4 linked regions of the Anolis sagrei genome follow. The protein of the gene in region 4 interacts with the protein of the main gene of each other region in a biochemical or structural test. Links are inferred from orthologs where the notes say so. Each region holds a gene or a part of one and is shown on either strand. Other genes may lie near its edges.

Evidence for each region.
Region 1: the proteins of ATM (region 4) and SMC1A form a complex in vitro, tested with the Homo sapiens proteins (2 studies listed by BioGRID and IntAct, with this or other methods). The link is inferred for Anolis sagrei from reciprocal best matches to the Homo sapiens genes ATM and SMC1A.
Region 2: the proteins of ATM (region 4) and MDC1 form a complex in vitro, tested with the Homo sapiens proteins (2 studies listed by BioGRID, with this or other methods). The link is inferred for Anolis sagrei from reciprocal best matches to the Homo sapiens genes ATM and MDC1.
Region 3: of the proteins of ATM (region 4) and EIF4EBP1, one has a biochemical effect on the other in vitro, tested with the Homo sapiens proteins (2 studies listed by BioGRID, with this or other methods). The link is inferred for Anolis sagrei from reciprocal best matches to the Homo sapiens genes ATM and EIF4EBP1.

What each region holds. Positions count from the first base shown.
Region 1 is NC_090022.1:175,069,769-175,077,533, forward strand, and holds the start of SMC1A (structural maintenance of chromosomes protein 1A), read right to left. Parts: upstream 3,169-7,765; 5' UTR 3,015-3,168; coding exon 2,906-3,014; intron 72-2,905; coding exon 1-71. UniProt on the Homo sapiens protein: Involved in chromosome cohesion during cell cycle and in DNA repair. Central component of cohesin complex. The cohesin complex is required for the cohesion of sister chromatids after DNA replication.
Region 2 is NC_090022.1:21,662,712-21,670,363, forward strand, and holds the start of MDC1 (mediator of DNA damage checkpoint protein 1), read left to right. Parts: upstream 1-4,493; 5' UTR 4,494-4,820; coding exon 4,821-4,944; intron 4,945-7,652. UniProt on the Homo sapiens protein: Histone reader protein required for checkpoint-mediated cell cycle arrest in response to DNA damage within both the S phase and G2/M phases of the cell cycle.
Region 3 is NC_090027.1:10,773,087-10,781,223, forward strand, and holds the start of EIF4EBP1 (eukaryotic translation initiation factor 4E-binding protein 1), read right to left. Parts: upstream 3,097-8,137; 5' UTR 3,040-3,096; coding exon 2,898-3,039; intron 1-2,897. UniProt on the Homo sapiens protein: Repressor of translation initiation that regulates EIF4E activity by preventing its assembly into the eIF4F complex: hypophosphorylated form competes with EIF4G1/EIF4G3 and strongly binds to EIF4E, leading to repress translation.
Region 4 is NC_090023.1:26,265,495-26,273,007, reverse strand, and holds the start of ATM (serine-protein kinase ATM), read right to left. Parts: upstream 3,461-7,513; 5' UTR 3,372-3,460; intron 3,325-3,371; exon of another isoform or gene 3,301-3,324; intron 1-3,300. Other genes in the region: protein NPAT, read left to right, coding at 3,719-3,755.

The sequences.
Region 1 (7,765 bases), on a different chromosome or scaffold from region 4:
GGTCTTCACTCTCAAATTACTGGTCTTCTCACCAAGCACAAAGCTGATAGCATCCATGAGGTTTGATTTCCCTGGTTAGATACAGCAAAGACAGAACAAATTGAAACCATGTTATCAATATTATGTTGATGTTTTCATTGTCACAGTTTCTTAGTCTCAAGATTTTAGCAACGAATAATAAAGACTCCGAATTATTACTGAAGAAGGTAAAGGAAGCAAATGCAAATGTTAGTTTACAGTTGAACATAAGAAAACAAAAATAATGACCACAGATAACCTTCATAACTTTAAAGTTAGACAAACTGATTGATTGAATTATTTTCTTTGTTTTTAAATGTTCAAGGAGCTCCATTGGCTGCTGTTTATTTTCCAAGCCCAATTTAAGGTGCAGGTGCTTACCTACACAGCCCTAAATGGTTTGGGACCATCCTACCTACGTGACCGCATCTCTGTTTATGAACCTACACGTTCTCTTCGTTCATCCGGAGAGGCCCTGCTCACGATCCCACCTGCGTCGCAGGCATGTCTGGTGGGGACGCGAGACAGGGCCTTTTCTGTGGTAGCCCCCTGACTCTGGAACTCCCTCCCTAAAGATATCAGACAGGCCCCTACCTTGGTAGTCTTTAGGAAGAACTTGAAGACCTGGCTGTTCCGATGTGCCTTTCCAGAATAGGAAAACTCCAGTAACATGTCCCAGAAGCACTTTATTAGAGTTTAAGATTGCCCGCACACTGCACTTACCCTAAAATCTGATATACCACCTGCCACATCAGCCTGTACTCATTTTAACCTGTACCCATTACATTGGCCCGGCCCTGTTTTCTTGTGTTTTGGTATATTGTTTTATTGTTTTGTTGTTTGATATTGCTTTAATTGCTTTGATTTGTTTTAAGTTGTGTATTTTGTTATGCTATGTTTTTATTGAGGCCTTTGCCTGTGTAAGCCACATCGAGTCCTTCGGGAGATGCTAGTGAGGTACAAATAAAATTAATAATAATAATAATAATAATAATAATAATAATGTAATGTATTGCATATGTATGTTGTAAACCGCTCCGAGCCTTCAGGGAGTGGTGGTATATAAATTCGATTAATAAAATAAATAAATTAAAAATTAAAAAAACACTGAAATAGTTCTATACTTTGCCTCACTCATTAAACAGAACGCGCTGCAGTCAAGAAATCAGAAGAAGACGAAGGCCCCTTCTATACTGCCAAATAAAATCCAGATTATCTGCTTTGAATTGGATTATATGGCAGGGTAGACTCAGGTCCCTTCCAGGATCGGATCCCACGTTTTCTGCTTTGAACTGAATTATACGAGTCTGTGAAGCCGAGCACCCCCCCCCCCCCCAGAATGGGGGATGGTGACTTGTAGCCCTGCAAAGGGCAAGCGCACCAGACTGCACAGTAAGGGGTTAAGTCTTGGTCACATTGCCAAGGCACTGACAACAACAAGGACCCCACGAGGCTTTTGGGAAACGGCTGGATCTTGGGACTTCTGCCCTTCGTGAGAGTCGTAGTTTCCCAAGGACCAAAGTGTGAATCAGTTGCAGCACAGCTGGGGTTTCATCTGCTAGCCTTCCCAATGATCATGGACTCTCTGCCTGCATGTCTTGGACTTCAGTACATACTATCTCCCTCATGAACTTTCCTCAAAGACCTTTTAAAACATTGGACTTCAGGCTTCTTCATGAAAATTAATCCTCTTATTAAATATATTTGGGATGTGGGACAAAGATGGGGTTTTGTTGCTATGAAATGCTTATGATTTGAATGTATGTATCTTGCTATGAAATACCTTTTGCCCCCTTTACCCTTGCCCAAAAAAAGGCGACCAGGAAAAACCACTCAGTGCCTGAGGGGGCTGTTGTTCCCTCGAAACCAACCTTATCACAGACATTTGCATGTACAATAGCAACTGGAAATTCTTTGTTTATTTTTTTCTGAGTTGGCCTGGTAAACAGGGAATTTCTCTGATCACATTTTAATTTAATCACAAAGGGGCGAGACTGGCCCCAGGGGTCTTCTTGCCCTGCTCTGTTTGTTTCATCCAAAAACCTATCAAAACCAACACACCTTATCTGATCCTGGAAGGGGAAAACCTGAATCAAATGATTATCCCTAATCACTGATCCATCACAAGAACAAAAAAACTGGTTTCCTTGGCTGGCTGATCCCTCGGGCAAAGGACAGTGGAATGTCATCATCCTCTCTGGACACAATGCCCCTCTTCCGTCCTGCCTCCCTCTCCCTGATTTGCTAAGGAGCCGAAGAGGGAGGGAGTTTTGAAACTTTCAAATCTGTATTTTGCTATAAATATGCCTCTGATCAATGTATTGGTATGCTTGCATGTGAATGATCACTGCAATTGCATCCGCTTCAGCTGAATCGCTAATAAACCTCGGTGCCACTTCTTCACCTTGGCAAGAGTCTCATTTCAATTATTAATATCAATAAAATTGCTGGAATCAGGCTTCTTCTGACGGCTCGCCAAGGACAAGGGACTCTCTTTGGTGCAGTCCTAGGAGTCTCTTCTACCGGGGAGACTCTCCCAAATTCAGGCTCAATATCATCTGCACTGCCAGATAATCTGGGATAAACAGAAAGCCTGGAATAAAGGGCCTGCCTGGAAGGACCCTCAGTCTACAGGTACTGAGTAGTGTGACTGAGCATTTGACTCTTAGGCCCCTTCTACACAGCTGTTTAAAATCCATATTATCTGCTTTGAACTGGATTATACAAGTCCACACTGCCCTATAATCCAGTTCAAATAAGATAATCTGGATTTCAAATGGATGTGGTAGGACCCTGGGTTATCTGGACATGCTCCCTACTCTACCCTTCCCTGAAATGCCATGCGATTCGGTGTTGTGTCCTTAGATCCCGGGGAGGCCCGCCTTACCGGATCCATTGGGCCCGATGATGGCCGTGAAGCTCTGGAAGGGCCCGATGATTTGCCGCCCTTTGTACGATTTGAAATTCTCGATCTCGATCAGCTTGAGGAACCCCATTCCGCGGGTTGGGGAAACGGGGGGGAGATAGAAAAGGTGGACGCAAAGCAAAACTACGGGGCGCGGTGGGGGACACAAGGCCCCGTAGGCCCCTCTTGATTACTACTCTCGGCCGCCGTCCACGAGAAGGGCGGGAGTCTTGAAACCTCGCGAGAGTTGATTACGGCTCACTTTAGGCTCCGCCTCTTACGACATCGCGGTCGCTGATAGGATGCCGCTGCCGCGTAAAATTTGCATTCGGAGCTCCTCCCCTTTTCCGCCTCAGCTCAGCAGGGGACCTCCTTCCTGCGGCAAGCTCCGCCTACTCCGAACTTCTCACTGTGCTGATAGGTTCGAGCGCAGCCAATGAGCCCTTTCCAAAGATGACATCATTTAAAGTGGCTCGTTGTCACAGCAACCAGAAAGCAAGCGCCGTCTAGGAAAGGTGAGCATCAGGCGAGTCGGGTCGTGCAGAGGAAGGGGCCTCTGATCAGGTTGCCTACACTTTATGGCACTACAAAGCCCAGCAGCCCTGGCCTGTTGAGAGATGCTGGGAGTCTCAGTCCAGAGGCGGAATTATAGCATCTTATTAACTGCCATGGCTCAATAATATAATATATTGTATATACATATAATAATGATAATATTATAATGTAATACAATATAATACTACTAATAATATGATAATTATATATTTTATATTAAATGTAATATTACTAATATTACAGTATAATGTTATAGTACAATGTTATATATATATAATGTAATGTTTGTTTGTGGGATTAACAGAACTCAAAACCCACTGGATGAATTGACACAAAATTTGGACACAAGACACCTAACAACCCAATGTATGTCCCTCACTCAAAAACATGATTTTGTCATTTGGGAGTTGTAGTTGCTGGGATTTATAGTTCACCTACACTCAAAGAGCTTTCTGAACCCCACCAATGATGGAATTGAACCAAACTTGGCACACAGAACTCCCATGACCAACAGAAAATACTGGAAGGGTTTGGTGGGCAGTGTCCTTTGGTTTTGGAGTTGTAATTCACCTACATCCAGAGATCACTGTGAACTCAAACAGTGATGGATCTGGACCAAACTTTGTGAATTATGACCAGGAATGTTTTGACGATGTGGCTGTGTAAGTGTGATGATGACGGTGTTGTATTGTAATATGTTTTTAATTGTGTAATGATAATACATTGTGTGGTTTGTATTTTTGTATACGAACACATGTTGTGAACCGGATCTGAGTCCCTCTTGGAGATGAGAAGATCGGTATAGAAAACTTTTAAATAAATAAATAAACTTTACATGAATACTCAATATGCCCAATTAGGGAAAATAGAATCTTAACATTTGGGAGTTGTAGTTGCTGGTATTTATAGTTCACCTACAGTCAAAGAGCATTCTGAACCCCACCAACGATAGAATTGGGCCAAACCTCCCACACAGAACCCTCATGTGGGCCACAGCAACACTTGGCAGGGGACGGCTAGTAATATTAATATTGTGCTATGGTAATAATATAATATAATGTATTTATTTTTTGCTTGTAAGCCGCTCTGAGTCCCCTTCGGGGTGAGAAGGGCGGCGTATAAATGTCGTGAATAAATAAATAAATAAATGCTATGGGATTCTGGGATTTGTAGTTTTGTGAGATACTTCCCCTTCCCTTCCACACAGTCATATAATCAAGAATATCAGGGCAGATAATCTACAGTATCTGCTTTGAACTGGATTATCTGAGTTCACACGGCCATATAATCCAGTTCAATGTGGATTTCATACAGCTGTGTGGAAGGGGTCAGAGGGCTCTGGTGCCACAACAAGAAACGAATCCCAGGATTCAATAGAATGGAGCCATGGCAGTTAAAGTGACTCATCACATTGTGGATAGTCACTGAGGCCCCTTTTACGCTGCCATATAATCCAGATTATCTGATCTGAACTGGATTGTTTGATTAGGTACCAAAATATGTTTCTTTTAACACAGAGGATTATGAGCCATGTAAATTAGTTTTTGAGAAACAAATAGATGCTTTGAAGGAAATCCTCCCTCCAAGGAATAAGGGTATATTTTTGCAGATACTACTTATGTGGTGCTTATAATGTCTGAAGCTCTAGATTCCATCTAGGAGTAGGGAGAAATACGAGGGTTGAATTAAAAGTAATGCCTCCACCTTCGAAACTCTTCAACAGATGGCAGTACTGGTATGCGGCAGGTACTGGCTTGTTCAGTAGACTCTCCTCTACAGTTCCATTTTGGCGGGAAGCCTTAGCATTGAATGGTTGTGTTGTTAAAGTGCAAAGTATGGAACCCTGTGCAGATGGTCGGTCAATGCGACTTAAGCAACGTGCAGTCATTGAATTCTTGACAGCAGAAGGTGTCACCCCAAAGGAGATTAATCAGAGAATGCAAGCTGTTTATGGTGGTTGTGTTGATGTGAGTACTGTGCATCATTGGGCGAGTGAGTTTAAAGATTTTGAGGTGGGAACATCTGACTTGCGTGACAAACAAAGAGTTGGACGTCCTGTGACAGCAAGCAAAAGGTTGACAGATTGATTAAGGACAATCGTCGTATCACTCAGAGAGAAATCTCAAGCATAATCGGCATTTCACAAGAACGTGTGGGTCACATTATTGCTTTGCTTGGCTATCGGAAGATCTGTGCAGGATGGGTCTCGGAAACAAAGTGTCGACTTCTTCCATGATGGCTTCAGAAAAATTGTTCATTGTTGGCAGAAATGTATCCAATGGTCTGGTGATTATGTGGAAAAGTGAATAGTGGTAGCTAAAGAGCACATTCTAAGGATTATTTCTGCATTTGATTTATTAAAATATTCCCATCCAAACCCAAGTAACAAAGGTGGAGGCATTACTTTTCATTCAACCCTCATATATATATATTATATAATGATGAGTCTACACTGCCATGTAATCCAGTTCAAAGCAGATAATCTGGATTTTATATGGCAGTGTAGAAGGGGCCATAATATAAGGCTGATTACCCTTTAATTGGAATTCTGAAATTCAAAATGCTCCAATTGATAATGTGCTATTTCATGAACAACATTTATTTTAAAATATAATGCACTCAGTTATTTTCAAGCACTAGACATATAAGATGCATGTGAAAAATCACTAAATGTTTATGGATGGTTTCAGGTGGCCCATCTCTGTGGTGTGACTTTAAAAGTATTTTGCTTGAGACTCTGGACAACTACAAGCATTTAGTATAGTAAACATTAAAATAGATTAGTATACATACAGTCCTTGAGTTACGGACAAGATAAATTCTGTAGGTTTGTTCTTAAGTTGAATTTGTATGTAAGTCAGAACAGGTACATTTTTTAAAATGAAACTCCAGTCCATTTGCTTTGGATAGCATAGGGAAGGGTGTTTGTTTTGCTGTCTGTGCCCCTGTTCAAAAGATTGCCCCTCACTTTCTGTCTCTGTGATAATTGGATTTTGAAAAATGTGGCTTGTTGTGGAAGCAAGAATTGGAGAGAAAGCTTCAGGTACTTCTACACTGCCATATAATCCAGATTATCAAAGCAGATAATCCACAGAACTGGATTATGTGAGTCTACACTACCATATAATCAAGTTCAAAATGGATAACCTGGATTTTATATGACAATTTTAGAGTGATGATCATTCCTTGCGTTAGTAGGTGTCTTGTGGCCAAATTTGGTGGCAATTTGTCCAGTGGTTTTTGAGTTATGTTAATCCCATAAACGAACATTATATTTTTATTTATATAGACTAGCCGTCCCCTGCCACGCGTTGCTGTGGCCCAGTCTGGTGATGTGGAAAATAAAGTAATGAGAAAGCATTGGTTTCTAATGTATGTAATTTTGTAATGTATGTAAGTGCTTTTGGGTAAACAGTATTTCTTGTTGTTTCTTTGTCAGTGTTGATGTGGAGATTGTCTGGTTTGACTACTCTTGAATATGCAATATATCATAGTCCTTCTTTAGGGGTCCCTTTGAAATCTATGATACTATATCTGTATCTGTACTATATCTGTGTGTGTGAATCATATCTATCTATATTTATGACTGGATGGCTCTTTGTCAGGAGGGCTCTGATTACATTTTCTTGTCCTGGTGAAGAGAGTTGGACTGGATGGTCTTAAGTATTTTCTGTTGCTCATGGGGATTCTGTGTGGGAAATTTGCCCCAGTTCTGTTGTTTGTGGGATTCAGAATGCTCTTTGATTGCAGATGAACTATAAATCCCAGTAACTACAAATCCCAAATGTCAATGTGTATTTTCCCCAAACTCCATCGGTGTTCATATTTGGGCATATGGAATATTTGTGCCAAGTTTGGTCCAGATCCATCATTGTTTGAGTCCACAGTGCTCTCTGGATGTAGGTGAAGTACAACTCCCAAACTCAAGGTCAATGCCCACCAAAACCTTCTAGTGTTTTCTGTTGGTCATGGGAGTCCTGTATGCCATGATTGGATCAATGCCATAACTGGTAGAGTTCAGAATGCTCTTTGATTGTAGGTGAACTATAAATACCAGCAACTACAACTCCCAAATGACAAAATCAAAAAATTTTGAGTGAAGGACATACATTGGGTTGTTAGGTGTATGCTGTCCAAATTTCGTGTCAATTGGCCCACTGGTTTTTGAGTTCTGTTAATCCCACAAACGAACATTGCGTTTTTATTTATATAGATTATCTGCCTTGATATTCTAGGCTATATGGCTGTGTAGAAGGGCCCTCTGTATCACGCACAAGCCTATCCTTT
Region 2 (7,652 bases), on a different chromosome or scaffold from region 4:
AGGATTCCCCAGGCAGGAAGCAGCCAGGCTTTGAAGCTGCAAGGCCATTCAATGCTAATCAAGCCGGCCGATTGCAACATTCACACTTGCCTCAAACAGTCAAGAGTTCTTTCTCCCACCCTGGACATTCCACAAATATATAAACCTCACTTGCCTAGTTTCCAACAGACCTCACAACCTCTGAGGATGTCTGCCATAGATGTGGGTGAAACATCAGGAGAGAATACTTCTGGAACATGGCCATATAGCCCGGAAAACTCACAGCAACCCAATGATTCTGGCCATGAAATCCTTCAACAACACATCAAAGCAACTATTAATCAAATCATCTAGCAAACAGCCCACCCACATTAGAGTATTATGGCAGTTTGACACCACTTTAAGTGCCATGGGATCCTGGAATTTGCAGTTTGTTGTGGTCATTCTAGTCTCCAAAGAGTAAATTTTCTTGTATTTGCCATTGCTCACTGCAAGAGGTGTGCTCACACACTATGTTCAATATAGGAACAATCAGTGTGGACATAGACTACTGAACTGTGCACTGGTAGAATATCTCTTAGGTAGCATTTAACGTCTTTATGTGGGTGGCTGATATGTGCCCTGGTAGTTATTCAGAGTGTCAGCTGTAGATTGTTCCCTATTGAGGATTTAAGAACAGTTGTATATACACATACTGACTGGGAACAAGGACTTCTGAATTTGTATATTGCCAGCACGAACATATGTGCAATATAAACTCTTATTATTATGGTGTGCCTTTAGGTCATTTCTGACTTATAATGACCCTAAAGTAAGCTACCTCAGGGTTTTATGGGGCTGAGAGTATGCGACTTAGATAAAGTCACCCTGTGGATTTCCATGGCTGAATGCGGATTAGAATCCTGGTATCCAAAATCATAATCCAACGTCCAAAGGATTACATCAGGTTTAAAGTCAACACATTGCATTGCCTGTTACTTTTCTGATACTTTTCATTACTTTGAATAAATAAATATTTCAAAATAATGATATAAACATTTAAAAAATCATATGTAATGCTTCTAACATTGCTCATTCACTAATGGAGCAACTTTGTTTCCATTGTTTGTGCTACTTACCATATGTAGCTTTGCGACAGGAAACGGTGTTACTCATAATGTGTTAACCTTCAACCCACAAGTCTTCCCCTGCTACAAGCCTCCTCAGCCACCTCTCTTCGCTGTTGAGAGTTAGAGTTTAATCAGTGGAATTAGTGAAGTTTGATACCACCTTAACTGCCATGGTTTAGTGCTATGGTATCCTAGTAGTTGTAGTTCCCTCTTGTCCTTTGCTGAATGTAGCATTTGTTGGATTTTCTTAGTGGATCTGTAGATTGTGTTTCTTCATCAGCTTCACTATGTGGTCAGTGGTTCCCTTGATGTATGGCAAGAACACTTTTCCTCTGAGTGGATCTTTGTCTTGACTCTCATGGCTTGTTCTTGGTCTTTCAGCACTTCTGATGTCTAAGGTGGAGTATCCATTGGCCTGTAGAGCCCAGTTTAGGTGGTTTGGTTCACCTTGGTGGAGGTGGGCTTCGCAGATTCTTTTTGCATGGTCTGTCAAGGCTTTAATGGTGCTTCTTTTTTTACTTGGGTGATGGTTGGAGCTTTTATGCAGGTATCTATCTCTGTGTGTAGGTCTTCTGTAAACTGTGTGGACCAATTGTTGGTTGGGCTTTCAGATGACTAGGACATCTAGAAATGGCAGTTTTCCTTCTTTTTATTTTTCCATGGTGAATTGGATGTTGGGGTGGATGCTGCTGAGGTGGTCCAGGAACTTATTTCTTTATTTGTTTGTTTAGAGTATTTACTATATTCCACCCTTCTCACCCCGCAGGGGACTCAATGTGGATTACAATGCACATATACATGGCAAACATTCAAAGCCAATTAATATGCAACATATAAACAGACAAAGAGGCAATTTTAACATTCCACCTTCCCGGCTTCATATCTGCTTTGAACTGGATTATCTGAGGTCACACTGCCATATAACCAGTTCAAAGCAGATAATATGGGATTTTATACAGCTGTATGGAAGGGGTCTGATTCATGCAATTATGGTACATGGTGAATGGTAGGAAAACCCACCTGCAGTGATCAGCTGTGATTTTTATTTTATTTTCATGTGAAAAATGGTTTCACCTGGTAATGCCCACTCCTGTCCTTAAAAACCCATTAAATGCAATTATAATTGTACTGTATTTTAATTTTATGTCCAGGACACAAATATAATAATAATAATAATAATAATAATAATATATTTATTTACAGCTTTTATATTCCACCCTTCTCATCCCACAGGGGACTCAAGGTAGATTACAGTGTACACATATATGGCAAACATTCAATGCCAATTTTGATGTGCAGACATATACAGACTTACACAGAGGCTATTTAACCTTTTCTGGCCACCAGGGGAGCTGTCGCTTTCATCGTCCATCTGCGATGCTGATGAAGTACCTCTGCATTCCTTGCATGCTTCCCCACTGGAGTGCTTCTTTATGGCCTCATAAATTAGTTAATTTTAGCCTCCCCACACTTTTAAGGTGGTACCTTATTTTCCTACTTGAAAGATGCAACTGTCTTTCGGGTTGCAAAGGTTGACAACGGGCTACACAATGGTTGGAAACCCACTCCAATCTGGGCTGGCTTCGAACTCATGACCTTTTGGTCAGAGTGATCTTAATGCAGCTGACACTCAGCCAGCTGCGCCACAATCCCAACAACAACAATTTATTTATTTATTTATTTCGAGGTTTTATATACCGACCCTCTCACCTTCAAAGAGGGATTCGGACCGGTTCACAACATGTGTTAACATACAAAAAATATACAACAACAACAACAAAAACAACAACATGGATGTGGCTAACAAATTGAACTTTGAAAAGGAAACTGGGGGCCTGATTCTTGCAGCCCAAATGCCATTAAAGCCAGAACTGAAAAGTCGATGACAGATCCCAAGTGTACACTCTGCAAGAAGATTGTGCAGATGGACTACAAGCAGAGGCATAACATCTTGCTCAGATGATCCACTGGAACTCGTGCCACAAATACCATCTGCCTGCGACAACGAACTGGTGGGATCACAAGCCTGAAAATGTTACAGAAAACGAACATGTCAGACTACTCTGACACTTTCAAATTCAGAGTTTTGGAGCACAATAGTCCTGACCTCATGATCGTGAAAGTATGGATCATCGATGTTGCAATCCCAGGTGACAGCAGAATTGACAAGAAGCAACTGGAAAATCTGACACAATATGAAGATTTAAGATAGAACTGCAAAGACTCTGCCACAAGCCAGTAAAGTTGGTCCCAGTGGTGATCGACACACTGGGTACGGTGCCTAAAGACCTTGGCTTGCACTTAAAAACAATCAGCACTGACAAAATTACCATCTGCCAACTGCAAAAGGCTACCCTACTTGGATCTGCACGCATTATTCACCAATACATCAGACAGTCCTAGACACTTGGGAAGTGTCCAACGTGTGATCCAATACAACAGCCAGCAGTGATCTTGTTTGCTGTGTACTAATCTTGTTGTGTTTCAAATAAATAATAATAATTTTGTATTTGCTTTGTTTTATATTGTTATTGGGTCATAGAATCCTAGAATCCTAGAGTTGGAAGAGACCTCATGGGCCATCCAGTCCAACCCCCTGCCAAGAAGCAGGAATATTGCATTCAAATCACCCCTGACAGATGGCCATCCAGCCTCTGTTTAAAAGGTCGTGTAAGTTGCCTTGATTCCCTATGCAGAGAAAGGTGGGGATAGAAATTAAGTTAATAATAATAATTAACGGGCCAGGAAAAATATTGATTGCGGTGCATCCACACTGTAGACTTAACACAGTTTGATACCAGTTTAACTTCCTTGGGGAATTTCTATGGAATCTGGCAAGTTGTGGTTTTAGCAGGCCTTTAGCCTTCTCTGCCAAAGTGGACTGGTACTTACCCAAACTACAAAGCCCAGGACAGTTAAAGCGGTATCAAACTGTGTTAAGTCTACAGTGTGGATGCACCGCAATTAATATTTTTCTTACAGTGCAGATGCAATGATGTAGAGATAAGAAACATTGTTTTAAAATTAAGAAAAAAATAACCGAGGAGTGGTTGTGCCCGTGTATACAAAACCCGCGGATACGGAGGGCCGTCTACCCGCGGATACGGAGGACAGGCTATTGCATTGACTCTCCATGTATTGCATTGACTGTATACTTCCACCCTCTCGCTCGGAGGCCAAACAAAATGGCCGCCGCCGTGAAGTCAAAGCCGGAAACCCTATGTCTGAAGCAACTCTATGCTACTGGGCTTACGCTCTAGGCTGGACATTTCCTGTCTCTGTGATTTTCCGTCGCTTATATTGGATCGGAAAAGAGCGAGGCCGGGCCGTTTACTCCCCGCCAACCATTGAAATAAATCAACCAATCGTCGGACGGGAAGCGTTTAAAGTGGCAGCCTCGGTATCCAATAAGAAAAGGGTCCTGCGCAAAAGAAGGCGGGGCGCACGAAAATTGGATGCCGGAGTGCTATTTGGGGGAGCGGAGACCCCTTTCAATAGGTTCAAATGGGAAAGAAAAAGGCGGGAGTTAGATTTAAAGGGACAGGCACCTAAAAATAAGAAAGACTTAGGTGCATAGGTGTGTGTGGGCTAGCCATTAGGATATAATTGGAAGCAGGATATCAAGGCTATCAAAGGAATAATGCAAGGAGATGGATACAGATGAGGTTTGGAAAGGCAAAGGGAAGGAGTAACATTGTACCTACATATATATAGCTATATAGTTATTGCAAAATGGAGCAAACTCAGTTGTTGGACTGGGACGAGGAAGGGGATCCCAATGAGGCTTCTCATGGGAATACCCCCAAACCTGTTGGGCGCCTGCACCTTTTGAGCAGCAAATATGGCCCTGAAAAAGGTAAGGATGTCTACAATTAATGCCTTTATATTTATTAACATTGTGTATGTATATTTTATTTATATGCCACCTTTCTCCCAAAGTGGGATGCAAAGGTGACTTGCAAATACATTAAATTGCAAGGTTTCCAACACATTTTATTATATGCATTTATATTATTGTATTTATATGCTCCCTTTCCCCCAAAGTGGGATGCAAAGGTGGCATGCAAATACATTACATTGAAAGGTTTATACCACATTTTATTATATGTATTGATATTATTTTATTTATATGCCAGTTTTCTCCCAAAGCGGGGCACAAGAATGGGAAAACGTTATTTGCCGACTTTCTCTCAAAGTGCAATGCAAAGGTGGCTTGCTAATACATTACATTGAAAGGTTTCCAACACGTTTTATTATATGCATTTATATTATTGTATTTATATGCCAGCTTTCCCCCAAAGTGGAATGCAAAAGTGACTTGAAAATACACGAAATAGAAAGGCTTCCAACACATTTTATTATATGCGTTGATATTATTGTATTTATATGCCACCTTTTCCCCAAAGTGAGATACAAAGGTGGCAAGCAAATACATTACATTGAAAGGTTTATACCACATTTTATTATATGTATTGATATTACTGTATTTATATGCTACCTTTTCCCCAAAGAGAGATACAAAGGTGGCTTGCAAATACACTAAATTGAAAGGTTTCCAACACATTTTATTATATGTATTGATATTATTGTATTTATATGCCACCTTTCCCCCAAAGTGGAATGCAAAAGTGACTTGAAAATACATTAAATTGAAAGATTTCCGACACATTTTATTGTATGCATTTATATTATTATATTTATATGCCACCTTTTCTCCAAAGTGAGATACAAAGGTGGCTTGCAAATACATTACATCAAAAGGTTTCCAACACATTTTATTATATGCATTGATATAATTGTATTTATATGCCACCTTTTCCCCAAAGTGGCATGCAAAGGTGGCTTAAAAATACATTACATTGCAAGGTTCCCAACACATTTTATTATATGTGTTGATATTATTGTATTTATCTGTCAGCTTTCCCCCAAAGTGGGATGCAAAAGTGGCTTGCAAATACATTAAATTGCAATGTTTCCAACACATTTTATTATATGCATTGATATTATTGTATTTATATGCCAGCTTTCTCCCAAAGTGGGACACAAGAATGGGAAAACGTTAAATTAGGTGGCTTGCAAATACATTAAACTGAAAGGTTTCTAACACATTTTATTGTATGTATTGATATTGTTGTGTTTATATGCCAGTTTTCAACCAGAGTGGGATGCAAAGGTGGCTTGCAAATACATTAAACTGAAAGGTTTCCAACACATTTTATTATATGTATTAATATTATTGTATTTATATGCCAGTTTTCTCCCAAAGTGGGGCACAAGAATGGGAAAACGTTATTTGCCGACTTTCTCCCAAAGTGCAATGCAAAAGTGACTTGCAAATACATTAAATTGAAAGGTTTCAAACACATTTTATTATATGTATTGATATTATTGTATTTATATCCCACCTTCTCCCAGAGTGCGATGCAAAGGTGGCTTGCAAATACATTACATTGAAAGGTTTCCAACACATTTTATTATATGTAGTGATATTATTGTATTTATATGCTACCTTTTCCCCAAAGAGAGATACAAAGGTGGCTTGCAAATACACTAAATTGAAAGGTTTCCAACACATTTTATTATACGTATTGATAATATTGTATTTATATGCCAGTTTTCTCCCAAAGTGGGACACAAGAATAGGAAAACATTAAATTAGAGTGGGGCGCAAGGCAGCTTGCAAATACATTAAATTAAAAGGTTGTTGTTGTTGTTATTAACAACTGTATTTATACTCTGCCTTTCCCGCTGTAGGGACTCAAGGCAGTTAACAAACCCACACTTTTAAAAGCTCATTACAAAAGTTACAAAACAATTAAATCGTACAGTGTGGTAGAGACATATTAAAACATTACCAATACACTTAAAATAGTCTTTACAACTAAATTGTATTTATTGATATTGTTTCATTTAGATGCCACTCTTTCACCCAAGGTGGCTTGCAAAAACATGATTCCACGGCATTGGGCCATTGGAGTTAAAGTGGTGTCAAACTGCATTAATTCTATAGTGTAGATGCACCCTAAGAATGGGGCTATGCCAGGCATGGGTAAACTTGGGCCCTCCAGGTGTTTTGGACTTCAATTCCCACAGTTCCTAACTGTTATGATTTGAGGGAGTTTTATTTTGAACACTTATACCCCATCCATTCTCGACCTCCAGGGAGAGACTCAGGACGGCTACCTACAGGCAACAATTCGATTCCGAGACAATATAAACACATAATAAATACCTAAATATAAATATAAATATACATTAAAACAGTTGATGTCCAAAACACCTAGAGGGCCAAAGTTTGCTCATGCATGGGTTATGCTGCTTGTTTACAAAAGCCCTTCAGAAGTTTGCATAGAGAGCAAAACTGAAATCCTGTTGGATTAATTAATTAGTTTATTTTATTTACATATTTATACTCTGCTTTTCTCACCCCTGGGGAGACTCTAAGCGGTTTTAATCCCAAATAGAGGATTCTCATTGAATCTGTTGATGTACAGTGTATTATCATGTAGATCAGGCATGGGCAAACTTTGGTTTACTAGGTGTCTTGGACTACAACTCCCACAA
Region 3 (8,137 bases), on a different chromosome or scaffold from region 4:
AGGCGAAATGTCAGGAGACAATGCTTCTGAGGATGCCTGCCATAGATGCAGGCGAAATATCAGGAGAGACTGCTTCTGAGGATGCCTGCCATAGATGCAGGCGAAATGTCAGCAGAGAATGCTTCTGAGGATGCCTGCCATAGATGCAGGCGAGACGTCAGGAGAGAATGCTTCTGAGGATGCCTGCCATAGATGCAGGCGAAACGTCAGGAGAGAATGCTTCTGGAATATGGCCTTACAGCCCAGTAAACACAACAACCCAGTGATTCCAGACATGAAAGCCTTCAACAATACATCTAGCTATGGTTATTAAAGTGATGTAAAACTGCATTAATTCTACAGCGGAGATGTGGACCCCAAGGCAACCTATGAATCATTCTGTAATTAAGACGTCATTCAGCACTCTGCACGTGGTCAGAGGCACTCAGGTATGTTGCAATGGCTCTCAATCAGGTCCAACTAATCACCTCCCAACAAAGGATTCCCCCGGCAGGAAGCATCCAGGCTTTGAAGCTGCAAGGCCATTCAATGCTAACCAAACCGGTCAACTGCAACAAACAGACAAGAGTTCTTTTTCCCACCCTGGACATTCCACAGAAACCCCACTTGTCTAGCTTCCAATGGACCTCACAACTGGGTTTTTGTAGGTTTTTCGGGCTATATGGCCATGTTCTAGAAGCATTCTCTCCTGACATTTCACCCACATCTACAGTAGGCATCCTCAGAGGTAGTGATGCAGGTGAAACATCAGGAGAGAATGCTTCTAGAACTTGGCCATATAGCCCGAAAAACCTACAACAACCCAGTGAATCAAGCCATTAAAGCCTTCGACAAGACCTCACAACCTTTGAGGATGTCTGCCATAGACGTGGGCGAAACGTCAGGAGAGAATGCTGCTGGAACATGGCCATACAGCCTGAGAAAGTCACAGTGACCTAGTGATTCCGGCATTTGACAAGACATAGGACAAGTTTGCACGCAAGGCTGATAACTATCAGTCCAATGAAATAAACTGTGACGGTTTCCCATCCCTTGCTAAGTCTTATGCAATCGACAACTTTTACTCTGGAATTGCATCAGATCTTCCACTTAAATATGCTTAGGGTTGAGAAACTGCAAGTCGCTTCTGGTGTGAGAGAATTGCCCGTCTGCAAGGACGTTGCCCAGGGGATGCCCGGATGTTTTGATGTTTTACCATCTTTGTGGGAGGCTTCTCTCATGTCCCCACACGGGGAGCTGGAGCTGACAGACGGAGCTTGTCTGCGCTCTCCGCAGATTCGAACCTCTGACCTGTCAGTCTTCAGTCCTGTTGGCACAAGGATTTAACTCATTGCGCCAATAAATGAATGCTGGTGCGTCCTTCACAAACTGCAAATCCCAGGACTTCATCGCCTTGAGTAATTAAAGTGGGATGGAATTGAATTAATTCTGCAGCGTAGTTGCACCCATGGCCTGTTCTCCAGTGGGATAAATAAGCATTAACATTGCATTCCGTGCTGCGCTCCATTGGGGTGCAAGCGGTGACATTCTTTCCGCCTGTGTCCATCCCACCCATGTGCCTGCCAACTGGAAAATAACACAGCGGGCATCTGATGCAGGCTCTGGTCCATGAGCGCTGATCCAGCATTGAACCTGCCAGGCTGGGAAGGGCCCTCTCTGCAAAACACTCCCCAGGCAGGAGAGGAGAGAAACACAGAAGAACCAGGTCTGCACTCACCATGGAATGCGGTTCAAGGCTGGCTTCAAGCAACAGTGCTTGTGGGCTGAATGCTCTGAAGCACTCAGCCCACAAGTAGAAACATTAAGACACCACCCTGCACTTTGCACATGCTCAGAGGCACTCAGCTCACAAATTTTAACATTATGACACCACTCTGCACATGCTCAGAGGCACTCAGCCCACAAGCACTCTGCACATACTCAGAGGCACTCAGCTCTCAAGCATCAACATTAAGATGCCACCCAGCACTCTGCACACTCTCAGAGGCACTCAGCACCCAAGCATCAACATTAAGACATCAGCCATCACTCTGCACATGCTCAGAGGCGCTCAGCCCACAAGCATCAACATTAAGACACCACTCTGCACATGCTCAGAGGCACTCGGCCCATAAGTATCAACATTAAGACGCCACGCTGCGCTCTGCACATGCTCAGAGGCACTCAGCCCACGAGTATCAACATTAAGACAAAACTCTGCACATGCTCAGAGGCACTCAGCCCACAAGCATCAACATTAAGACACCACCCAGCACTCTGCACATGCTCAGAGGCACTGAGCCCACAAGTATTAACATTAAGACGCCACACTGCGCTCTGCACATGCTCAGAGGCACTCAGCGCACAAGTATCAACGTTAAGACACCACCCAGCACTCTACACATACTCAGCCTACGAGTATCAACATTAAGATGCCACTCTGCACATGCTCAGAGGCACTCAGCCCACAAGGATAAACATTAAAACGCCACCTTGCACTCTGCACATGCTCAGAGGCACTCAGCTCTCAAGCATCAACATTAAGATGTCTGCCAGAGCTCTGAACATGCTCAGAGGCACTCAGCACACGAGTATCAACATTAAGATGCCACTCTGCACTCTGCACACACTCAGAGGCACTCGGCACTCAAGCATCAACCTTAAGATGCTGAGTGTCAACATTAATAATGTTGACACTCAGCTCTCAAACGTCAACATTAAGACTCCACTCTGCACACACTGAGAGGCACTCAGCCCACAAGCACCAGCCAGCACTCTGCCCATGCTCAGAGACACTCAGACTGCAATTCTAAAACAGAGCTAAGTATTCCCGTGTCTTAAAGTCACATCCAAGGGCTAAGGAAGCAACTGCAGGGATGTCAACACGAGAAAGGCAGCGTCCAGGTGTCGCGGCTCACCTCCGGGCGTGGTGCCGAAGAGGGTCCCCCCGGGGGTGGTGCTGTAGTCTCCAGGGGGCAGGGTCACTCCTTCGGGCAAGTGGAGCCTCTTGGCCGGGATCAAGGCCGGCGGAGAGCGGAAATAGGTGGCTGCGGAGCTCATGGCGGACTGACTGCCTGCGTGTGTCTTCTCCGGCGGGGAAACTCCACTGGCGGGCGCGCTCTCTTCCCGGGACGCCCCCCGTCGAAGCCCCGCCCCCCGTCTGCCAGGACACGCCCCTCCGCTCTCACAGCCCCGCCTCCGTTTTAGCCCTGAATGTTTTTTTCTGGACTTCAATTCCCAGGATTCCCTTCCATTGTCCCAGTCAGCGGAGACTTCTGGGAGTTGAAGTCCCAAAGTCAAAAAGTGGCTTTGCTCTATTCCTTTGCCACCATATTAACTTCTATGGAAATGTACAGTTTTGTGGGATACTAAGGCTCCTTCTACACTAACATATAAAATCCGGATTCTCTGTTTAGAACTGGATTATATGATAGTATAGAATCATAGAATCATAGAATCAAAGAGTTGAAAGAGACCTCATTCATGGGCCATCCAGTCCAACCCCATTCTGCCAAGAAGCAGGAGTATTGCATTCAAATCACCCCTGACAGATGGCCATCCAGCCCCTGTTTAAAAGCTTCCAAAGAAGGAGCCTCTGTATAGACAGAGGCCTCTTCTGCAACGCCATATAAAATCCAGATTATCTGCTTTGAAGCGGATTATATGTAGACTCAGCCTCCTTCTACACCACCATATACAATCCAGATTATCTGCTTTGAACTGGATTATATGACAGTGTAGACAGAGCCTCTTTCTACACCGCCATACAAAATTCAGATTATCTGCTTTGAGCTGGATTATATGGAAGTGTAGACTGAGGCCCCTTTTACATCAACATATAAAATCCGGATTATCTGATTTGAACTGGATTATATGGCAGTGTAGACTGAGGTCCCTTTTACATCAACATATAAAATCCGGATTATCTGATTTGAACTGGATTATATAGCAGTACAGGCAGAGGCCTCTTCTGCAATGCCATATAAAATCCGGATTATCTGCTTTGAACTGGATTATATGACATTGTAGAATGAGCCCCCTTCTACACCGTCATACAAAATCCAGATTATCTACTTTGAGCTGGATTATATGGAAGTGTAGACTGAGGCCCCCTTTACACCAACATATAAAATCCGGATTATCTAATTTGAACTGGATTATATGGCAGTGTAGACTGAGGCCCCTTTTACGCCACCATATAAAATCCATACTATCTACTTTGAACTGGATTATATGACAATGTAGACTGAGGCCCTTTTTACACCAACATATAAAATCCGGATTATCGGATTTGAACTGGACTATATGGCAGTGTAGACTGAGGCCCTTTTTACACCAGCACATAAAATCCGTATTATCCGATTTGAACTGCATTATATGGCAGTGTAGACTGAGGCCCCTTTTACACCAACATATAAAATCCAGATTATCGGATTTGAACTGGATTAAATGACTGTGTAGACTGAGCTCCCTTCTACACTGGCATGCAAAATCCAGATTATCTGATTTGAACTGGGTTATATGACAGTGTAGAGTGGGCCTCCTTCTACGCCGTCATATAAAATCCAGATTATCTGCTTTGAACTGGATTATATGACAGTATACACTGAGCCCCCTTCTACACCGCCATATAAAATCCAGATTATCTGCTTTGAACTGGATTATATGACAGTATACACTGAGCCCCCTTCTACACCGCCATATAAAATCCAGATTATCTGCTTTGAACTGGATTATATGACAGTGTAGACTCATATAATCCAGTTCAAAGCAGATAATGTGGATTGTCTGCTTTGATAGTCTGGATTATATGGCAGTGTAGAAAGGACCTAAAAGAGCTGTCAGAATGGAAGACCCATCTCTTCTGGCAGAAGAGTCAATTTATCATGAGTTTTGATTTACCCTCTACTACTATTATATGTCAATTCTGTATCTGTGTTTTGTGCAAGTGTTTTATATTTTTGTGTTTTTATCTGTGTAATTCATTGTATACTTATTTTATGTTCATGTTTTTGACTTTGTTGTACCCTGCCTCGAACTATAATAAGGGGTGGGTAATAAATAAAAGGTATTTTTACTATTTGACACACAACAAGATTGGCACATGGCAAACAAGATCACTATGTTGGCTTTTGTATTGGATCACATTTTGGACACTTTCCAAGTGTCTAGGACTATGTGATGTAGCGGCCAATAATGCATACAGATCAGAGAAAGGTGGCCTTCTGCAGCTGGCAGATGGTAATTTTGTCAGAACCGATTGTGTTTAAGTGCAGGCCAAGGTCTTTAGGCACTGCACCCAGTGTGCCGATCACCACTGGGACCACCTTGACTGGTTTGTGCCAGAGTCTTTGCAGTTCTATCTTTAAATCCTCATATCGTGTCAGCTTTTCCAGTTGTTTCTCTGCAATCCTGCTTTCGCCTGAGATTGCAACATCTATGATCTATACTTTGTTTTTTTCCATGAACGTGAGGTCAGGAGTGTTGAGCTCCAAAACTATGTCTGTCTGAATTCAGAAGTCTCAGAGTAACTTGACGTGTTCATTTTCCATAACTTTTTGCGGCTGTGATCCCACCAGACCTTTGTGGCAGGCAGATGGTGTTTGTGGCACAAGTTCCAATGAATCATCTGAACAAAGGTGTTGTACCTCTGTGTGACGGTGTGAGTGGCACCACCTATATGTAGAACTGTAAGTTGCAGGATTTGAACTGTTGTATCAAGCCCGATTTTGCCTTTTTACCCTGTAAATGTATAGTTGGATTGTGTTGTTGTAGGTTTTTATGGGCTATATGGCTATGGTCTAGAGCAGTGGTTCACAACCTTCCTAATGTTGCGATCCCTTATTACAGTTCCTCATGTTGTGGTGACCCCCAACCATCAAATTATTTTCGTTGCTACTTCATAATTGTAATTTTGCTATTGTTATGAATCGTAATGTAAATATCTGATCTCCAGGATGTATTTTCATTCACTGGACTAAACTTGGCACAAATACCCGATACGCCCAAATTAGACTACTGGCGGGGTTGGAGGGGTTGATTTTGTCATTTGGGAGTTGTAGTTGCAGGGATTTATAGTTAACCTACAATCAAATAGCATTCTGAACTCCACCAATGATGGAATTGAACCAAACTTGGCACACAGAACTCCCATGACCAACGGAAAATACTGGAAGGATTTGGTGGGCATTGACCTTGAGTTTTGGATTTGTAGTTCACTTGCATCCAGAGAGCACTGTGGACTCAAACAATGATGGATCTGGACCTAACTTTGCATGAATATTCAATATGCCCAAATGTAAACACTAGTGGAGTTTGGGGGAAAATAGACCTTGACATATGGGATTTATTGTTCATCTACAATCAAAGTGCATTCTGGACCCCACCAACAATAGAATTAGTCCAAACTTCTCACACAGAACTCCCATGACCAACAGAAAATACTGTTTTCTGATGGTCTTTGGTGACCCCTCTGACACCCCCTTGCGACCACCCTGGGGGTCCTGACCCCTAGGTTGAGAAACACTGGTCTAGAGGCATTATCTCCTGATGTTTCACCTGCATCTATGGCAAGCATCCTCAGAGGTAGTGAGGTCTGTTGGAACTAGGAAAACTGGGCGGATCTTCATCTTTATTCTCATGGCTACCCAGAGGAAAAGTGTTCTTGCCATACATTAAGGGAAAACACAACCTATAAACTATCTACAGACCCACCAAGAAAATCCAACAACTGCTTCGTTCAGCAAAGTACAAGAGGGATCCCCTCACCTCTGCAGGAGTCTACCGTGTACCATGCAGCTGTGGACAAGTCTACATAGGGACCACCAAATGCAGTGTTGCCCAAACACGAATCAAGGAACATGAAAGGCACTGCAGACTACTTCAACCAGAGAAATCAGCCATAGCAGAGCACCTGAGGAACCAACCTGGACACAGCGTATTATTTGAGAACACAGAAATGCTGGACCACTCTCACAACCACCATATCAGACCACACAGAGAAGCCATTGAAATACACAAGCATGTGAACAATTTCAACAGAAAGGAGGAGACCATGAAAATGAACAAAATCTGGCTACCAGTATTAAAAAAACTCAAAAATTACAACAGCACAACAACAGAGAGGGAAACTAACAAGGACATCTAATCACCTCTCAACAAAAGTTTGCTCTAGGCAATGTCAGGCCATTATATGCTAATCAAGGTGGTCAGTTGAAACATTCACACCTAGCTCCAGCAGACAAGAGTCCTTTGTCTCACCCTGGTCATTCCACAGATATATAGTTCCAACAGACCTCACTACCTCTGAGGATGCTTACCATAGATGCAGGCGAAACGTCAGGAGAGAATGCCTCTAGACCATGGTCATATAGCCCGAAAAAACATACAACAACCCAGTTATTCTGGCCATGAAAGCCTTCTACAATATATAGTTGGATTGATTGGTTATTTATAGCTGTCAATCAACGTTGTTTGCACCAGTTGAATTGCTCCTCCTGCTCAATTGTTCGATCCCACCTCTTCCTAGAGAGCGGGACAGTGTTTCCTTTTCCATTCCACCACCAAACTTTCTATCAGATGGACGTGAGAGAGAGACTTGGCTCTGAAGCCCTTGATTAAGTTACCTCTCAGCACCAATTCTGAGGTTCTTACCCTTCAGACTTATGCTTTATGTTCAGATCAACCTGGACGACATTGAGAAGTCTCGAGTGCCTTCAAACAAGTTCTTTGGCACCAGAGGAAGGCTTTGTGCCTTCAAAATATAGGCCATTGGAATTGGAGTTGTGATTATTCCGATATTCACAGCCATTGAGAAAGAGGGACCCGGAAAAGCTTCTCAGCTGCAAAAGTCCTTGGACCCAAGAAAACCAGAGACTGTAATGTATATTTTCCTTTACCCCTTTGAAACTTCCAGCTTGTTGCCTTAAAGGGATAACTCTTTGTGAACAATTAAACTCATTTTGAGTTATGTACAGTGTTTTGGTCCTTGGGAGTTCCAGTTTTCCTAAAGGAGGGCAAGAAGCAATCCCCTGGGGGAAAGATGTCACGTCCATGCCTCTTTCACTAAGAGTTATAGCCCAAGGCGCGACGGCACACTCTGCTTGTAGTCTGTCTGCGCAATCTTCTTGCAGCAGCTGAGGATGGGATCCCTTGTTTC
Region 4 (7,513 bases):
CACAACAATAACAATTAAAACACAGCATACACAGTAGCAAACACACAACATTCATACCAATGCCTCGATCACAAACAAGATCCAGTCTCATATCCTTATGCCGTTCCTATGTTCAGTTTACCGTCATTCTGTGTTCAATTGCGCTGATTAGCCAAACGCTTGCTCAAAATTTGTTGTTTTTATTATTATTATTATTATTATTATTATTATTTTATATTACTATATAGAAATAATAACACTGCAATGTAATGGTGCTGGTGTAATACTAATAATGTTGTAATATATTGTATATTGTGTATACTACAACTTATGATATGGTACAATATATTCTATAATACTAACAGTATAATGTACTGGTAGTGTATCACATACATTGTGGTGTAATAATATAGTACAATATAATAATATAATATGATTTATTTATCGTATCAGGAGCGAAGCAAGCGCACAGTTGTGATGTATTTTAAAAAACACAAAATTTAAAAATTTGACATTATATGAAATGTCCTGGACACTTGGGAGTCCCTCTGGTGTTCCTATAAGGAGGTCCTCCATTGTGCATGTGGCAGGGCTCAGACTGAATTGTAATAGGATGCATTGTATAATATGATAATTGTATATTATATAAGACATTCAAATGTTTAAAAGCAATGCTTTTGGGTTTGAAAAGATTAGCCATTTACAAGAAATGTTGCCTGGGGGATGCCCAACTGTATTTACTCAGTCTTCGAGGAGTCTCTTTCCGTGTCATAAGTCTGCCCATGCAAAGCAGGTGAACATAGCATTGAACAAAACATGCAGAATAATCACAGGATGTCTTAAACCTACACCTGTGGATAAACTTTACAAGCTAGCTGGTATTGCCCACCCCCACCCCCATGTGCGACGGGAAGTTGCTGCTAAATGTGAGAGAAATAAGGTTGAACACTGTGAAAGCCACCCACTACATGGCTACCAGCCTCCTCCCAGTAGACTCAAATCAAGGAAAAGCTTTATGCGAACTACCACTCCTCTTGGCGTCCCCCCAGGAACAGCTAAACCAGGAAATCCCAACTGGATGGCCCCCCACGAGTGTCTTTCTCCAGGGGTAAACTAAGAATGGGCAACTTGGAAGTCCCTGAACAGACTCAGAAGTGGAGTAGGCAGATCAAAAGACAACCTGGCAAAATGGCACTACCTAAAAGAATCCCACACCTTGTGTGGCTGTGAAGCAGAACAGACAACTCCGCATCTGTATGCTTGTCCACTATGCCCTGCCTCATGTACAAAGGAAGAATTGTTGGAGGCTACAGACATTGCCATTGCTGTTGCCCATTTTTGGTCAAAAGGTATTTAGCCGCCTACACTCCTTCTATTTTTATCACTTTTTTATTAATTTATGCAATGCTTTTGATACAAAATAAATAAAATATAATGCACATAATATTACTAGTAATGTTATTACTTTTGATGCAGATTTGTTTTTGGGATGGGGGGGTGGTTATTTTTGTCTTTGTTCAGTTTCTCACGGCATTTAATGTTTGCCGATATCTGTTGTAATCCACCCTGAGTCCTCTTGGGGAGATAGGGCAGGATATACTGTATATACTCGAGTATAAGACTAGTTTTTCAGTCCTTTGTTTAGGCTGAAAAAGCTCCCCTGAATTTATACTCGAGTCAAAGTTATTTATTATTTTACTTTATTATTATTTATTTATTATATTACTTTATTATTATTATTACACTTATAGGTCAACTTTATTATTTTTATTATTATTACATTTATTATTTTACTCTATTATTATTGGAAGGATACGTAAACACGTGTACATTGAAGAAGGTTAGAATAATTTTTAAATCAGAGTTGGACAGTCTTATCTTACAGTTTTATGTAAATATTAATAAACATTCAACTTACTGATGCTTCAATTAATGTGATTTTATTAGTATCTATTTTCATTTTGAAACTGACCCATAGCTCCTGCATTTCCCATCCTCAGCTTATACCTCAGTTTTTGTGGTAAAGTCAGGTGCCTCAGCTTATATTCGGGTCGCCTTATACTCGAGTATATACGGTAAATAGTTCTTGTTGTTGTTATTATTATTATTATTACTATTATTTCTATTATTAGAAGTCAAGCAAGTGAGGGCCAATATGACAAGTGTTCTGTCGCCACTGGACCTGAAATGAAGTGCCTTTAAGAGAGGATGTATGGCTTGGATCCAGCGGGAAGCCAGGGGCCCCGAAAAGAAGCCTTTGGTAAATTTCCCTTATTAAACAGTCTTTATGAGGCTTGAGCTTAAATATAACAGTCTTTTATTGATGAACAAACAGGAATTGTAAAGTTTTCTAAACAGTCTCTTAGCTCTTGCAATCTTGTTCACAGGGAACAGGCACTATCTTCAAAAACCTTGTTCAAAGGAAAATTCCCCTTTCTAGCTCCTCCCAGGCTGCTGTGAACCTAAACCTGACTTATTTGAATATACTACCGGCTGAACTGCGTCTCAGAACCTAGCAGACGTAGCAACAGGCCTGTAGTCACTTAGCTGCTTTGATGGTTAGAGCTGTTATTCCCCCCGGAATTCTTCAGGGCTGTAAGGCTGTTTCCCTGGAACCTTTGGGAATCTTCAGAGGCTCTCAAGACTGTTCTCCCCCAGAAAGTCTTAAGGGACGAAGCCTTTGCACAGGAGGATGTCTGTATACACCCTCTGCATTGACTTCCTTTGCTGAGACTAACTGAAAGATGGCCCCTTCCCTCCAAAAAACCCAGAGAGGGGCAGGACCAGGGATCGTAACTATAATAGACTAGTGGCTTGCCCTATGATTGCAAACGTAACAGGAAGCCACCCTGCTGCAAAATCCCAAGCCTGGGATTGCAAACCAACATTTAATTCAAAGCAAATAAAATTGGAGCTCCTGGAACAGCTGTTCCAGAACAACAAGCATGAGGATGGATAGGCGGAGGAGGAAGAGATGGAGGAGGAAAACATTGTAGAATTGATGCAGAATTGCTATGCCTGGGTGCCATATCATCAATAGGAATCGTAGTGGTGATATGTTACTATGTTTTTAATTATGTTTCAGTTGGTAAACTTTGTTGTTGTCTCTGTGTTTGGCCCAGCAAATAAGCTGCCATGAGTCCCTTTTGGGGAGATGGTGACAGGGTATACAAAATAAAGATTTGCAAGGCCTCTGCTTGCAAGGCCTCACCAAACTATAAATCCCAGGATCCCACAGCCTTAATGCAGTTGGGACGCCCCATTTCATTCACTGCCATGGCTCAAAGGCTAGGCAATGGTGGGAGTTGGAGTCCAAATCACCTGGAAGGCCCAAGTTGGCCCATGCCTGGCAGTGAAGAAAGTGAGGCCAGGTTGCATTCCTTCTGACTGACCTGAGGCTTCTTTTCCCGGCTCCACATTCGACGTGAGGTGCGCGCGCAGCCTTCCGCCTGGGAGGGGCGTCAGAAGGGGAGCGAAGGGGGCGTGGCCTCTCCTTCTTTCCCGCGTTTCCCTCCTGGCTCCGCCCACACCGGAAGCGGAATCCTGATTGTTGTCGTTTCTGCTCCCGGAAGTCATTGGGCGGAGGAGGAGGAGGGGGAAGCTGAAGTAACTGAAGACTATTTTGGGCGCCTTTTTCTCGATTGCCGGGCCCAGAAGGAGCCGGGAAAAGGGAAAGTGTTGGTTGTTTCCGCCCCCGTTTGAGGAGGAGGGGGGCTTCCTTTTCCCCTTCCTCCTCGCCATGTTGCTGCCGTCAGACGTCGCCCGGTTGGTCCTCGGTAAGGGAGCGGTTCTGGGCCCATCTACACTGGCCATTTAATGCGGTTCGAGGCGAGGTTCAGACTGCGGCGGCCAAGCAACCAAGGGCCCTGCCAAACAGATATATAGCCTAGAATATCAAAGCAGACAATCCCACAATATATTGTCGAAGGCTTTCATGGCCGGAATCACTCAGTTCTTGTGGGTTTTTTCGGGCTATATGGCCATGTTCTAGAGGCATTTCTCCTGACGTTTCGCCTGCGTCTATGGCAAGCTTCCTCAGAGGTGAGGTCTGCTGGAGCTGGGAAAAAAGGGGTTTATATATCTGTGGAATGACCAGGGTGAGACAAAGGGCTTTTGTAAGTTGGGCTAGGTGTGAATCTTTCAACTGACCAGCCCATTGTATGCTAATCAAGGTGGTCAGTTGAAAGATTCACACCTAGCCCAACTTACAAAAGCCCTTTGTCTCACCCTGGTCATTCCACAGATATATAAACCCCTTTTTTCCCAGCTCCAGCAGACCTCACCTCTGAGGAAGCTTGCCATAGATGCAGGCGAAACGTCAGGAGAAATGCCTCTAGAACATGTCCATATAGCCCGAAAAAACCCACAAGAACTGAATCCCACAATATCTGCTCTGAACTGGAATATGTGGCAGCGTGGACTCAGGTAACCCAGGGCCCTTCTACACTGCCACATAATCCAGATTATCAAATTATTATTTATTATTATTACAGTCCCACTATATAGAGACAAAGTTGAAGTACTTTGGCCACATCATGAGGAGACAGCAAAGCCTAGAGAAGACAATGATGCTGGGGAAAGTGGAAGGCAAAAGAAAGAGGGGCCGACAAAGGGCAAGATGGATGGATGGCATCCTTGAAGTGACTGGACTGACCTTGAAGGAGCTGGGGGTGGTGACGGCCGACAGGGAGCTCTGGTGTGGGCTGGTCCATGAGGTCACGAAGAGTCGGAGACGAATGAACAACAACAAATATGTGCTCTGAACTGGAGACCCCTTCCACACAGCTGAATAAAAGCCTGTATTATCTGCTTTGAACTGGAATATATGGCAATGGGCGCTTCAACTCAGCCCTATATCCCAGAATATCAGGGCAGGAAATCCCACATTACCTGAGTGTGGACTCAGATAACCCGGTTCTAAGCAGATACTGTGGGATTTTCTTCCTTGATATTCTGGGCTATAGGACGGTGTGGAAGGGCCCAGTGTGGTCTCAGGTAACCCAGGGCTCTTCTACACTGCCACATAATCCAGATTATCAAAACAGATAATCCACATTATCTGCTTTGAACTGGGTTATATGATTCTACACTGCCATATAATCCAGATCAAAGCAGTTAAATTAGTGTAGGTGGGGCCACAGTTCAAAGCAAATACTGTGGGATTTTCCGCCTTAATATACTGGGTTATCTGGCTGGTTGGAAGGGCCCTGGGTTATCTGAGGGCCCTTCTACACAGCCTTATATCCCAGAATATCAAGGCAGAAAAACCCACATCTGAGTTTGGACTCAGATAACTCAGTTCAAAGCAGATATTGTGGGATTTTCTGCCTTGATATTCTAGGTGATATGGTTGTGTGGAAGGGCCCTGGGTTATCTGAGTCCACGTTGCCATATATTCCAGTTCAAAGCAGATAATGTGAGATTTTATTCAACTGTGTGGAAGGGGCTCAACTACTCCACAAAAGTGCTAGAAAGGAAGCTCTCCATGAACACCAGTATTCTGCGGTTTGTATATTATCCTATCCTGCCAGGATTTTCTGTGTAATCTGCACAGCAAAGCTGATTTTTTCAATACCGGTTTTAAACTGCATTAAATGCTTGACGTGGATGTGTCCTGTGAGGAGAAGGGCATGGCTCCTTGTAGCTCCTTTCCCCATTTTAGACTCACTGGGTGTGTCAGTTGAATATCTCTTCTTGAACAACATGTCCGGCTGCCAGAGGCATGTTAGGTTTTGGAATGTTTTGTAGATATCTTGGAATCTAAACACAAAAATAATTACAATATACATACAGCCCCTAAGTGAATTTATACACAATATTTGTGGTAGTATGATTTAAATCATGTATGGGCAAACTCTGGCCCACCAGGAGGGCCAAAATTTTCCCATGCCTGATTTAAAGTGGTCCAAACCAAATTGTCAGACTTAGTAGAGAACATTGACATTTGTGGATTTTAGCTTCTTTTAAGCGTCACACTGATACTTCCTATTCCCTTTTTGCAATAGTGATCAGAGTTGTGTGTTAATTTGTATTGTGTAGAAACAGCAGCTTTGATTGGTGACGGTTGTTTCTTTTGACAAGAGATAATACGATATCGTCCTAATCTTTGTTTGAAATTCAGGAAATGTTAAGTGCAAAGCTGGTATTTTGTTCAGCAGTTATGAGCTAGTAAGCAGGATTGTCCTAGCCACTAAGGATTTGTATTTAATAATTTTGTAAAAATGTACCCACCTCTCCTCATGGCTATTAGGCAGGTAAACAACATTGTTGAAACACATAGATACAATGTAGTACTATTAAAATACATGTATTAAAATGAACAAAACAAAGATACCAATACTAATAAAATGTCAGGTTAAAATTTACAGTTTAAAACCAACTGGGTAGACCTGTCAGAAAAGATAGGTCTTCAGTTGTGACTTAAATTCTAACAGCTGATCTAGCTGTCAGACCACTTCTGCAGGTTGTTTCACAGTCTTTGGGTCCGATGAAAAGGTGATGGTCGGCAATTGGTTTCTGGAAGGATGGACCAGACGCCCCCCCCCCCCCCCCGAAGGCCTCAATGTTTATATCTTTTAAGAAAAGAAATGGTAACCATTTCTTTTCTTAAAATAATTGGCAATTGTTTTTCAGCTCTTAGACTGATTTCCAGGTGACTCTGAACTATTAGGAACAGAGAATATGCCAATACACACTCTCTCTCTCTCTCTCTCTATATATATATATATATCTCAGATATTCAGAAGTGTTGTCGAAACACATCTATTCTCCCCTACATATCTTGTTTCTATTTCATGCTCTCAGAAGACAAAATTCAAGTAGACTTCTTTAAAAATAACTTGTTTGTCTTACTCACAACTTTGACCATTTAAATATACAGACACATTTCATGTTAGTTTAAACTTTAAAACATTTCAGTTTCTGTCTTTAACTTTCAGTCTTTTTCAATCTCTTCAACACTATACAGCTCTATACAACTCTCTTCTATAACTGTCTAATTTCAACTGTCATTGTCAACAGTCATCCCTCAACTGTCAACTTTTAAACTGTGATCTAAACAGTCCCTGTTCTGGCCACATGGTCTGCAGCCCCTCCCACAACCTCAAGAACATAGAGTTAGGGAAAACTGCATACCAAAGAATGCATATACACTTCAATAAATAAAACAGCATATTATATACAGACAAATTATTAAACAGGAGGTTTAAGAAGGTTTCCTATTTCCAAAATATTTAACACTTGCAAATAAAGAATTTAGTTCAGCCAATTCACCTTGAAGGCCATTTTTCCAAAGCGTGGGTGACTTATTGTGCAATAGGATAAACTCTTCTAACTGCGATGACTAGCATTACAACCCTTCTGGAGTTGGTATAGAATAAAAGTACAGGTTGTGTGTTACTTTTAATTTGTTTTCTAACAAACCCTTTTAAAAATACATATTTCAAAAAGAGTGCCACAAAAGTAATCTTCTGAAGCAACAAGTAAACTATTCGTTATACAAAAAAACCCCTCATAATTGTTCTTATTAGAACGC